Oryctolagus cuniculus: one gene and its partner. The protein of the gene in region 1 purifies or fractionates together with the protein of each later gene. This does not show direct contact. Links are inferred from orthologs where the notes say so. Each region holds a gene or a part of one and is shown on either strand. Other genes may lie near its edges.

Region 1 (7,206 bases):
TATGCATCAACTAATTTTTTATTTAAAAAGATAGTTATAAATAGTTATTTCTCTTATGAGGCCAAGTCAGAAGAGTTAAGCTGGAATTTAAATGATGACAGCAGATTTATGTCAACTAGAACTCAGTATTGGAGATCATCATTGAGAGAAATCTGATGAAACAGAACAGAAAGGAGCCAGCCGCATTTTCCAGACATTGTCCTGCCAAGATCTCGTGAATACTTCCCTAGAAAAGAGGCCTAAAACCCAATGGAGTATATCCTTTAAACAGGCTGGCAGGCCTGGTCCCAGAGACAATGGGAAAAAATGCAGCAAACTTGTAGGGCTGATCACAGAGGGAGGTAAGTAGGTGGGGCAACAAAGGGGAAGGAAAGTGAAACTTAAAGATCTAAGTTGGAGAAACTTAAAGATCTAAGTGAAACTTTAAGATCTAAGATGGAGAAAGGCCGGTGGGCAGAGAAGATGCAAGAAAAGGAAGCAGATGAAACAAGGCATCCACCAGAGAAAGGAGGAGAGTGTTTGAATGTCCAAACCCAACCCATGCCAAAAAAACACTAAAAAATCTGTCCCCGAAGTCCTACATTCACTTAGTTCCCTACCTTCCTGAAATTTTTATCCTTAAAATCAGAAGAAGCAGGGGCCGGCGCCATGGCTCACTTGGTTAATCCTCCGCCTGTGGCACCAGCATCCCACATGAGCGCCGGGTTCTAGTCCTGGTTGCTCCTCTTCCAGTCCAGCTCTCTGCTGTGGCCCAGGAAGGCAGTGGAGGATGGCCCAAGTGCTTGGGCACCTGCACCCACGTGGGAGACCAGGAGGAAGCACCTGGCTCCTGGATTCAGATCGGCGGAGCACTGGCCGTAGCAGCCATTTGGGGGGTGAATCAATGGAGGGAAGACCTTTCTCTCTGTCTCTCTCTCTCTCACTGTCTTAACTCTATCTGTCAAATAAAAAAAAATCAGAGGAAGGGCTTACCAGAGTCTAAGAAGGGTGTGAGAGGAAGGGATGAAGAAAACTGAATTAATAGGTACAGAGTACAGTTGAATAGGAAGAACAGCTTCTAATGCTCCGTAGCATAGTGGGCTATTCACTGTTTTGTTTTTCTTTTTTAAAGAGTTATTTATTTGAAAATCAGAGTTACACAGAGAGGCAGGGAGAGGGAGAGAGAGAGAGAGAGGTCTTCCATCCACTGGTTCATTCCCCAAATGGCCACAATGGCCAGAGCTGCGCCAATCTGAAGCCAGGAGCCAGGTGCTTCTTCCCAGTCTCCCATGTGTGTGCAGGGGCAGAAGCACTTGGGCCATCTTCTACTGCTTTCCCAGGCCATAGCAGAGGGCTGGATAGGAAGAGGAACAGCCAGGACTCAAACCAGTGCCCATATGGGATGCTGGCACTGCAGGCGGTGGCTTTACCCTCTACACCACAGTGCTGGCCCCTCTATCTACTGTTGAAATCCATTAATTGTATACTTCAATTAATTGGTCCAGCTGGTTAAGCCACCACTGGGGAGTGGAAAATATCTCTCTCTCTCTCTTTCACTCTGCCTTTCAAATAATTAAGCAAATCTTTAAAAAGAAAATGTGGAGAGAAAAATGTGGATAGATGTGTGTGACAGCAATAACTGGCATAGGCCTCAGAATCAGTCAGCTTCTTCAGAGAGAGAGCCAATGGCCAGAGGCGTCACACAGGAAACCTGGAGTAGTCTGGGTCTCTGACTACTTAACTCATAACTAGACTCACTGAAGAAAAACCGACTCCAACTTCAAAGGCCTTAAGAGGACAAAATGTACACATAGGGAATAATCCTAATAACTTAAGTCTTCCATACTCACTTCATCATGGCAGTAACAAATTCAGATCTCAGTTTTCATGATTTATTCACACTTCCGCCTTCGTTGAGTAATAGTAATATGCTGAACACACAGATTAAACCCAAAATAATAAGGAACCTTGCACCTATCATTCCCAACAAAACAGCCCCATGGAAGGAGTAGAACTCATCTCCTTTGAGGCTATGCTTACATTGAACATTATCCTCTTCATAAGCCTATCATTGTGCAAAAGTGAGAAAACTGCAAAACTATTTTTTTGGAAAGGCAGAGTTACAGAGAGAGAGAGAGACAGAGACAGAGATAGAGAGATATCTTCCATCCACTGGTTCACTCCCAAAATGGCCACAACGGCCAGAGCCGGACTGATCTGAAGCCAGGAGCCAGGAACTTCATCCAGGTCTCCTATGAGAATCCTGAATCCACACGAGTCCAAGACATCTCCCCGACTCTTTCCTGGCATCAGGAAAAGAAAAACATAGAGGCACCGTGCTCCTGGAAAGCCTCACCATTCCCACAATTTGTCCCAACTACAAATCATGCAGATATCCTGTGCCTCCCAGTCCCTATCACTGGCCCAGTTACAAATCAGGCAGCCCCGGAGACCCCCTGTGTCAGAAACACCCTGTCTCACGGTATCTGGTATCCTCTCCAGCTGCTCCAGCCCACACCCCACATCCCTTTGTTCGCCTGCTCCAATTCATCTCCCACCTCTCTCCCTCCTCCCTTGACACAAGTTCCCTATAAAACCCCAGCCTTACACATGAGCCCCAAGCTCATCTCCCTCTGAGGCCATTCCTGGCAGTTCTTTGCCCTACTAAACTTTTCTTTGCTGAGCGTGGTCTTGGTTGTCGTTCTTGGGTGTGGTTGAAAACCCAAACATGTCCCAGGTGGGTGCAGGGGCCCAAGCACTTGGGACATATTCTTGCATTGGCAAGGAGCTGTATCAGAAGTGGAGCAGCCAGGACTCGAACCGGCAGGTGACAGCTTTACCTGCTACACCACAGCACCGCTCCGCAAAACATTTTCAATTGTAAATGAGAGAAGCCAGAGAAAGCTTTTTGTTTTCATTCTTTAACAGAATGAAATTCAAGGTGGAATCAGACACCTATGTTACTCTCCTTTCCATTTTGCTCTACAAACACAGGAAATCTCCTACATACCTTCCTTAACACTCCACCTCACTCTGCATGATGTAACACCAAAAAGAAAGCCTTATATGAAATGTTTTTAAATGTTTTAAAATATTTGCCCTGTTTTCTGGAACAGTTTCAAAATATAGCACCTCAGTGCTGTTAAGTACAAAATTCAAGCCACTGTGTTAATTTTCAGATACACTGAACACAGATTTTCACAGGCCTTAGAATGGAATTTTATGTTTAAAAATCCTTTTGGCTTTCTTCCTAGGAAAAAAAAGAGGAGAAAAGAGGGATTAAAACTAAAACATTGTTTGCACAGTTTGACAAAATCTTTAAAATTTCTCAACATGTATGTCCACGGACTGAGAAATTCTGCTTCGAGAAATTTTCCAAATATATTCGTCCATTTGTAAGAATGCACATATAAAATGAGAATCATTGCTGCATCATCTATACCAGTAGAAACTTGAAATAACCGAAATGTCCTAGCATTGTTTAAATACATAACATCCTTTCCATATTGTTCATCAGTTTAAAAAAATACCATTGATGCATCCATATGTCCTTCCATAAAAAGATGTCCATAATGTACTATTAAGTGGGAAAGCTAATTACAAATCAATTTTAAAGACCTTCACATAGAAGCCTTCCTGATAAATTATACACAACAATGATACCGCATTGAGAAAAACTTCTGTTTCTACTTTACACATTGTCTGCAATGTTTACATTTTTTTACAAGCTTACAACACCTTTGTTAACTTCTTTTTTTAAACACGAAGGCATATAAAAGCCCAAATAAATCTAGCCGCTTGAGAAAAAAAATCATTGGCTTTACATATGCGTGCAATGATAACGGATCCTTATAATTCGCGAAGCCCAAATACATCCCTTAACTACCCAGGAGCTCCGCTGGATGTCTTTCCTAAAGAAAACTCCGCAAATTAGCCCACACTTGCCTCAAGTGCCACGCAAGCGTCAAGCCTCCAATGCTACTTCGCTGCCTGCCCCGCGACAGCTCTGTCGGAGAACGCAGCCGGGAAAGCAGAGCCGCCCGCAGCCAAGGCAGGAGACAGGGCGGGCGCGACCGTGCAGCACCAGGCTCAGCTGTTAGTTCTGCGCTGCGGCGCCAGGCGACCGCGCGCGAGCCTCGCCCCCGCCTCTCGGCTTTCGTTTCCCGCGGAATGGAAAGTGAAACTCAAAGGCAGGCTGGACTGCGGCCGGAGGGCGCGGCGGGCGCTCGCAGCGACTACTTACCGGTCAGCCGGTGGGGACCAGCCCAACTCGCCACGTGTGAGCTAACGCATCGGTGCTGTGTGCCTTTGCGTTTGATTTGTGCTATGGTTTCAGTACTTGCAAATGCCAATTGCTGACGATTCCAAGAGCACACGTTTCTTTTTATTTGACATGTTAAGGTCTCTGCCGCTAGGATGCGTGTTACAACCACTTGACATTTTCTAACCTGTGCGGCAGCGTATTTTTTCTTTCGGAAGATTACGATATACTCTCTTGAATCGGGTATCCATCCCAGGCTTGCAGATTTGATGAAATAGGGCATGTTACCGTCGCGGACTCCCCGCAGGGAAAGGGAGGGCTGGGAAAGGCAATGGATCGGCTGTTTCTCCTCAGAGTTCCTGCTGGGACAGTCTGACAGACCTGTCACTCCCGGGTCCCTACTATGTGCCAGGCTCTCCGTTAATCTGGAAACCTGTTTTTTATCTACACCACAGCCTCTCGATACAAGCCCTATTTTTAAAACAAAATGCAAAGGATAGAAAATTCTAAGTGGTCTAAACAGGACCTGATTCCAGAACCTTCCATCTCTTAAAAAAAATTATTTATTTGAAAGGCAGAGTTACAGAAAGAGGGGGAGAGAGAGAGAGAGAGAGAGAGATCTTCTATACCCTGCTTCACCCCCCAGTTGGCTGCAGTGGCCAGGACGGGTCCAGGCAGAAGCCAGGAGCTTCTTCCCGGTCTCCCATAAGGGTTCAGGGATGAAAGTACTTGCACCATCTTTCACTGCTTTCCCAGGCACATTAGCAGGGAGCTGGATCAGATTCTAATGCACCAGGGCTGATGGATATGGCTTAACCCTCTGCACCACCATGCCAGCCCCAGAATATTCAGTCTTACCCATCAGTCATTTATTTAATTGAAAAGCAGAGTGACAGAGAGAAAGAAATCTTCCAACTTCTGCTTTACTCCCCAAATGGCTGCAACAGCTGGAGCTGAGCCAGGCCACAGCCAGGAGCCTGAAACTCCATCAAGATCTCCTACATAGGTGACACAGGCCCAAGTCCTTGGGTTGTCTTTCATTGCCTTCCCATGTACAATTGCAGGGAGCTGGATAGGAAGAGGAGCAGCTGGGACTCAAAATAAGACTCTAACTTGGGATACTGGCATCGCAAGTGGTTTAACTTGCTACACCAGCCACAATGTGGGTCCCACACTTGTATATCTTTTTGTCATATTATTTTTAAAACATTTATATCTTTTCATAAGTCAAAATGTATGAACAATGAACTGTCACCTCTCCCTTATATATCCCATAATAACCAGTTTATTTATCCTTTCTTTGCTTCTTTCAGTTAAAATGAGAAGTTCCATGTATATTTTTTTAATATTCCAGTATTGCTTATTTTATCACAGTAAAATATACTCTCCATCTCTACAAACTGAGCACAACCATAGTTGCTTACACATCCATACTTTTTTAAATTTTTTATATCCATGTTTTTAATGACAAGCCAACATTATAGTATCCTACATGAAATATTTGGTTTGAAAAAAGTCTTAAAGTTCTTTATTTTGTTTCCTATCTTTTCTCCACCCTTTGAAGACATTTCATGTTAATTGCTGTAAGGTCTATTTCCCAAACACATAAATGATATGGAGGACAGCAGGGAAGAATGCAAGGCTCACCAGGTGTAGCAAAAGAACTGCAAGCTCAACTTTGGCTAATGTCATGAACAACTACGAAGCAAGAGCAGATATATTCCAGGAGGTGGCAGTAGAGCTATGTTCCTATTTATCAGAAGAAAACATGGAAGGTTCTATACATTAGAAACTATTGGCTTTGATGGCCTGTGCTTCTGGGGTCTTTTCCAAGAACTCTTTGCCTATGCCTATGTCTTTCAGAGTTTTCCCAATGTTCTCTAATAATTTGATGGCATCAGGTTATAGATTTAGGTCTTTGATTAGTGTTGAGTGGATTTTTGTGTAAGGTGTAAGGTAGGGGTCTGGCTTCATACTTCTGCATGCAGATCCAGTTTTCCCAGCACCATTTGTTGAAGAGTCTGTCCTTGCTCCAGTGATTGATTTTAGCTCTTTTGTCAAAGATAAGTTGGTTGTGGATTCGTGGATTGATTTCTGGAGTCTCTGTTCTGTTCCATTGGTCTAAATGTGCGTTTTTGCCAGTACCAGGCTATTTTGATTATAATTGCCCTGTAGTATGTCTTGAAATCTGTGATGCCTCCAGCTTTGTGTTTGTTGTATGTTTTCTTTAGTTATTCTGGATCTCTTGTGTTTCCATGTTCTCCCTGATTTGTGGTAACTAAAATTGACACTTTGAGATGCAATGATTTTAAATAGCCCTTGTCTCAACTGTTGAGGAACAGAATTTTTTCCCCTTCATATTATTTGTTGAACTCTTGACTTAGTGCATGGTAAGTCTTAATGAGTATAAAGTTAACCACAAACAGATCTCTATAAAAAATAAGAATGGGAATAGGACAGGGAGGAAGACAAAGGGTAGGAGAGTGGGTGGGAGGGAGGATAGGATAGAAAATATCTCTATGTCCCTGAATCTAATTATATGAAATACATGAAATTTGTATAGTTTAAATAAAATTTTTAAAAAATTAATAAATTCAGGAATGAAAATAAAAAATAAATTTTAAAAAACTATTGGAGGTTATGTTCATGTATGTTTTCTTATTTCCCCTTCTGTTATACACAAGGAAGCTCACCATAGCAATTACACCACTTTGCATTCTTGCTGGTAATGTATACGAGTACCTGTTTGTGCACAGGTTTACCAACTGAGTATTTTATCAGCTTTTAATTTTTTCTAATTTGGTGAGCATGATATGGTGTCTTAGAGTAGTTTTAATTTACATTTCTCTTATTTAGAGTAATATACTTTCAAATGTTTGTTAGGCTGTTTTTCAAAGAATAGAAATTCTTGTTTGTTTATTTTTCATTTTATTTGAAAGCCAGAGAGACAGAGACAGAGAGATAGA
Region 2 (4,731 bases), on another chromosome or scaffold:
AGCTCCCGGGCCAGGCCGGTTCCCTCAGGCCCGCCTGCTCCTGCTCCCCCTCCAGATAAGGTGCTCATCTGCTCAGTGCAGCCCTACACCAAGGAGGTGCTGCAGTCGCTCCCGCTGACTGAAATCATCCGCCACTACCAGCTGCTCACCGACGAGAACATCCCCGAGAACCCACTGCGCTTCCTCTACCCCCGAATCCCCCGCGATGAGGCTTTTGGATGCTACTACCAGGAAAAAGGTGGCAACCGATTTGTTTATTTACATATTTATTTACTCACATGTATTTAGTAAAAAGGCAGAATGATAGAGAGGGATTTCTGTTCACTGCTTCACTCCCCAGATGCCCACTAATAGCCAGGCCTGGGCCTGAGCAAAGCCAGGAGTCAGGAACTCCATCTGGAGTCTCTTATGTAGGTGGTGGGGCCCCAAGCACTTGGGCCATCATCTGCTGCCTTCCCAGGCATATTAACAGGGAGCTGGTTCAGACTGCAACATAGGATGCTGGCATTGCAAGCAGCCGCTTAACTGTGCTACATGGTGGGACTTGTTAACATACTTGATTACTAGATTGCAGGAATTCTCAGACATCATAAATCCAGCTCCATTTCAAACATGGGAAAATGATATCCAGGGGCCAGCATTGTAGCATAGTGGTTTAAGCCACCACCTGCAACACTGGCATCCTATATGAGCACTCGTTCGAATCCCAGCTGTTCCACTTCCAATCCACCTCCCTGCCATTGCACCTAGGAAAGCAGCAGCAGATGACCCAAATGCTTGGGCCCCTGCCATCCACATGGGAGACTCGGGTGGATTTCCATGCTCCTGGCATAGCCCCTGTCATTTGAACCATTTGGGGAGTGAACCACTAGACAGAAGACCAACCTGCTTTTCAAAGAAACCAATAAATCTTTAAGGAAAAAAAAAATGATACCCAGAGAAGTGAAGGGATTTGTTGATGGGACCCTGCTAGCCCACAGGGAGGTGTGACAGCCAGGACCACCTGTACTGGGAGACCTGTGGGCCGTGTGTGCACCCCACTGACCCCAACTCCTTGTATGGCCCTCACAGTTAATCTCCAGGAACGGAGGAAATACCTGAAACATAGGCTCATTGTGGTCTCCAACAGGTGAGGTGTGAACTCTGCCCATCCTCCTTGATCCTTTCAGGCTGTCAGAGCGACTCTAACCTGCCCGATTCCAGCCCTCCCCCTCTCCCCCCAGCAGGCTCCCTGTGCTGACCCACACTCTCCGGCCCTCTGGCTTTCTCTGGTTCTTCTAGTCTTTGTCCTCTGTTGTTTCTTCCCTGCTGCCATCCTCATATCTTCACAGTGGTTCCCCGGGAAGAGAGGCTATGCTTGCTGGTAGCAATGGTCGCCCACCTGATGCCAGGCGTAGTACTAGATGTTTTAAGAACCTTTGATCATTTAATCCTTGTGAGAACCCGTCAGAGCAGGTGGTAATCAGAGCCACGTTTATGGAAAGCTTCCTACACGCCAGCACCGGGCTGAATGCTTTGTGTTCACTTTCCCTTTCTCTTGAATCTTCGCCAGTGGTCCTGTGAGGTAGCCATTGTGATCATCGTTGTCGTCTGAGGAGACGGATGTTCGGAGTGGGGAAAGAGGCATGCCTAGGGCACGTGGCTACAGGTGACCCGGGTTCATCAGATTCTCCTGTCTTGGTGTTTGCAGACAGTTGGATGAGCTGCAGCCACCGCCACTACCACTGCCACTGGAGCTGGAGCCAAAATTGGAGCCGTTAGAGCTGGAGCCGTTAGAGCTGGAGCCGGGGCTAGCACCAGGCCTGGAGCTAGCGTTAAGCCTGGAGTTAGGGACCCTGCTGGAGACAGGGCTGGACCTGGGGCTGGAGCCCACGCTGGGCCTGGTGCCACAGAGCATGCCAGAGCCAGACCTGCTTCCTGACTCCCAGCCAGGGCCGGAGCCAGAAGCAGATCTGCCCGGCGACCTGAGACACTTGAACACTGAGGAAATGGAAAGTAAGTGAGGGGATGTGGCTAGGGCTGAGAGAGTGGCCACTCCGGCCTGCCCAGTGGTAGTCCCTCTGGCCTTCTCTCCCTTTCCCACCTTCCCTCCCTCACCTGTCACCGGTGCTGCAAGCTCCTCATTGGAGAAGGGCTCATTTCCGGGTCATACCTTTCATTAGGAAACACCCACGCCTTCCCATGTCCCCTGTTCCCCTGAGGTCCCGTCCAGGCCTTTTCCCACCATCCTCCCTCACTTTGCCTGCTGGGCTGGGGTCTCCCAGCTGAGATCGGGGCTTGACTTCTCGCTCTGGATCCTCTAGTCTTCAGAAACTCTGTGAAGATTGAAGAGATCATGCCCAATGGAGACCCGCTGTTGGCTGACCAGGACGCCACGGACGATACTTACATCTCCTGCCACAGCCACTTTGACTCCGATGGGCCCTTGGTTCCGTCTGACTACTAGGAACTGCATTTCCTCTGTCCCACATCTCTTGCTGCTCCTCCCCCCTCCCCACATCATGATGCTGCTCTCCAAGAGTGGGAGTGAGAGTGGGAGGTGAGAGCCTCACACGGACATGGAAGGGCACCCCGGGATCAGAGCAGATGCTGGCCGTAGTTCCTAGCAGGATCCCCGGGGCTACCTGCTGGGCCCGAAGCGTGGGCTTCTGGGGGCAGGCCAGGATAGTGGCAGGTGCTGGAAGATGCTCGGGCAGGGCTTCTTGCCAGCTTGGAAGGACTGTCGCATTGAATTCCAGGTAAGGCTGAGCTAGTGTACCCTGGCACCGGCCCTCGGCGGGGAGCACAGAGGCATAGCGGGACTGTTTTTCTGACTCAGCCCACCCAGGGAAGCTATACCCTGAGGACGGCAGTAGGAGGTAGCCCTGCTCTTCTCACTAGGCTCATCCCTTGCTCCGCCCCCTCAGCTGGCCACGTGCATTTCTCCCACAAGATGACTCAGCCAATCCACTGTGGCTGTGAAGCTTTGTACACTCACTCAAGTTGCTTAGTCTCCACTTCCCCAACACTTAGGGGACAGATTGCCACGGGAGGGCAGGGATGCCAGGAATTTAGGCATTGGTTTCAACGGCACTGGGTAGAGTTCAGGGATTTCTGGAAGAAGACAAGGGTTGGGTCTTACCTATTTTTCTACTACACTGTCATCCTCCTCCTTTATACACTGTTTTTACCTGAAGGGAAGGCTTCTCTTTCTTGGGAGTGGAGCTGGGCAAAGACCAAGTCCCTGGAACTTAGTGCCTCGAAGGTTTAACATAGACCCTGGACAACCTCACACCTCCGCCGCCCCCAGGGGTAACTGCCATTGTGCTAGATGTGCTTCTGGTGTAACTCGAGGTGGATGAAGGTGAGGCCCAGGCACGTGGCTGCTTCGTGTCTGCTGTGTCAGCACAACAGCCCCTCGAGGCCCCTCCCAGCAGCAAGAGCTAATAAACGTCATGCTGGCCTGGAAACTTTCATCTCTGCATGTCTTTACTTCTCTGCTCATAAAGGCCAATGTCCTGAGGCACATCAAGATACAGGAACAAGGTGGGCGAGCCGTGGCCTGTCTTCCACAAACCCCAGTATGCCCCACTCCTCACGGTTCTTCCCTCTCAGTTGGGAGCAGCTCCTCCTGTCCCTTAGCCTTGCTGTGGCTGTGACTACGTATGTGTCAGGGAAGAGGAAGAGTGGTTATTTAACTGTCCCACTGTCACTCTGCTGGTTGGTGGCAAAGCCAAGACAGGAACCTGGGGCTGGGCAACTCCAAAGCCTACATTCTCAATGCTGTGACTTTGGGGGAAAGGAAAGGAAATAACCACTAGCCCCTTCTCCTATTTTTTTTTCCAAAAATGTTTTGGCTCCCCTTGGGTAACCAAACTCTTGAAGAGGTCCACGGCTTTCCTTTATGGGAGAATCCTATTGGTTTGGGAGATGGACTTTCATCTTCCAGGAGCACCCTTCCTACTCAAAACTCAGCTCTCGGATCCCACAGTCCTCAGGACTCCTGTCTATGGCCAGATATACTCTTTTTAAAAAGATTTATTTGAAAGAGTTAGAGAGAGAGAGAGGGAGAGACAAACAGATCTTCCATCCACTGATTTACTTTCCAAATTTCTGTAACAGCCAGGGCAGGAGCCAGGAGTTTCATCCGGGTCTCCCACGTGGATGCAGGGGCCCAAGGACTTGGACCATCTTTACTGCTTTCCCAGGAACATTAGCAGGGAGCTGGATTGGAAGTGGAGCAGCCAGGATTCAAACCGGGGCCCATATGGGATGCCAGCATCGCAGGCAGTAGCTTTACTTGCTATGCCACAGTGCTGGCCCCTGGCTAGATAAATTCTTGGCCAAGAAAGCTGGGAAAGAGCCAATGGATCAAGAAGTGAGTGACCCCAGGTGTGCCCCCATTTCCTAATCTCAAGCTGTTCTATTTGCTCAGCCACACAGGGATTAATGTCAGAAAGATCCCAGTTTATGCCAGGGGCTCTGGAGAAAGTAGTATTTTATATGTTAGTCTTCAGAGGAGAAGCAAAGGATGAGAACTGAAGTCCCCCGGCCCTTCTTTCCCAGCTGAACCTAGAAATTAGACTCTCATAGGCACATAAATAAGTCTTTATTGGAAAAAATACATAATTCAGTATAAATATAATAAATAATCCTTGAACTGCTCCCATGAGAATAAATAGTCCCAGAGTTTCCCCTCCCACCTAATAAATACTCAGCTTTGTCATAAGTCAGCATCATAAGTCAGTCAGT

Evidence for each region.
Region 2: the proteins of USP18 (region 1) and STAT2 purify together in Homo sapiens (affinity purification with western blotting; 6 studies listed by BioGRID and IntAct, with this or other methods). This does not show direct contact. The link is inferred for Oryctolagus cuniculus from reciprocal best matches to the Homo sapiens genes USP18 and STAT2.

The regions. Positions count from the first base shown.
Region 1 is NC_091440.1:88,893,862-88,901,067, forward strand, and holds the start of USP18 (ubl carboxyl-terminal hydrolase 18), read right to left. Parts: upstream 4,166-7,206; 5' UTR 3,925-4,165; intron 3,014-3,924; exon of another isoform or gene 2,990-3,013; intron 1-2,989. UniProt on the Homo sapiens protein: Interferon-induced ISG15-specific protease that plays a crucial role for maintaining a proper balance of ISG15-conjugated proteins in cells. Regulates protein ISGylation by efficiently cleaving ISG15 conjugates linked via isopeptide bonds.
Region 2 is NC_091442.1:59,155,620-59,160,350, reverse strand, and holds the end of STAT2 (signal transducer and activator of transcription 2), read left to right. Parts: intron 1-55; coding exon 56-238; intron 239-1,071; coding exon 1,072-1,129; intron 1,130-1,690; coding exon 1,691-1,995; intron 1,996-2,303; coding exon 2,304-2,446; 3' UTR 2,447-3,449; downstream 3,450-4,731. UniProt on the Homo sapiens protein: Signal transducer and activator of transcription that mediates signaling by type I interferons (IFN-alpha and IFN-beta).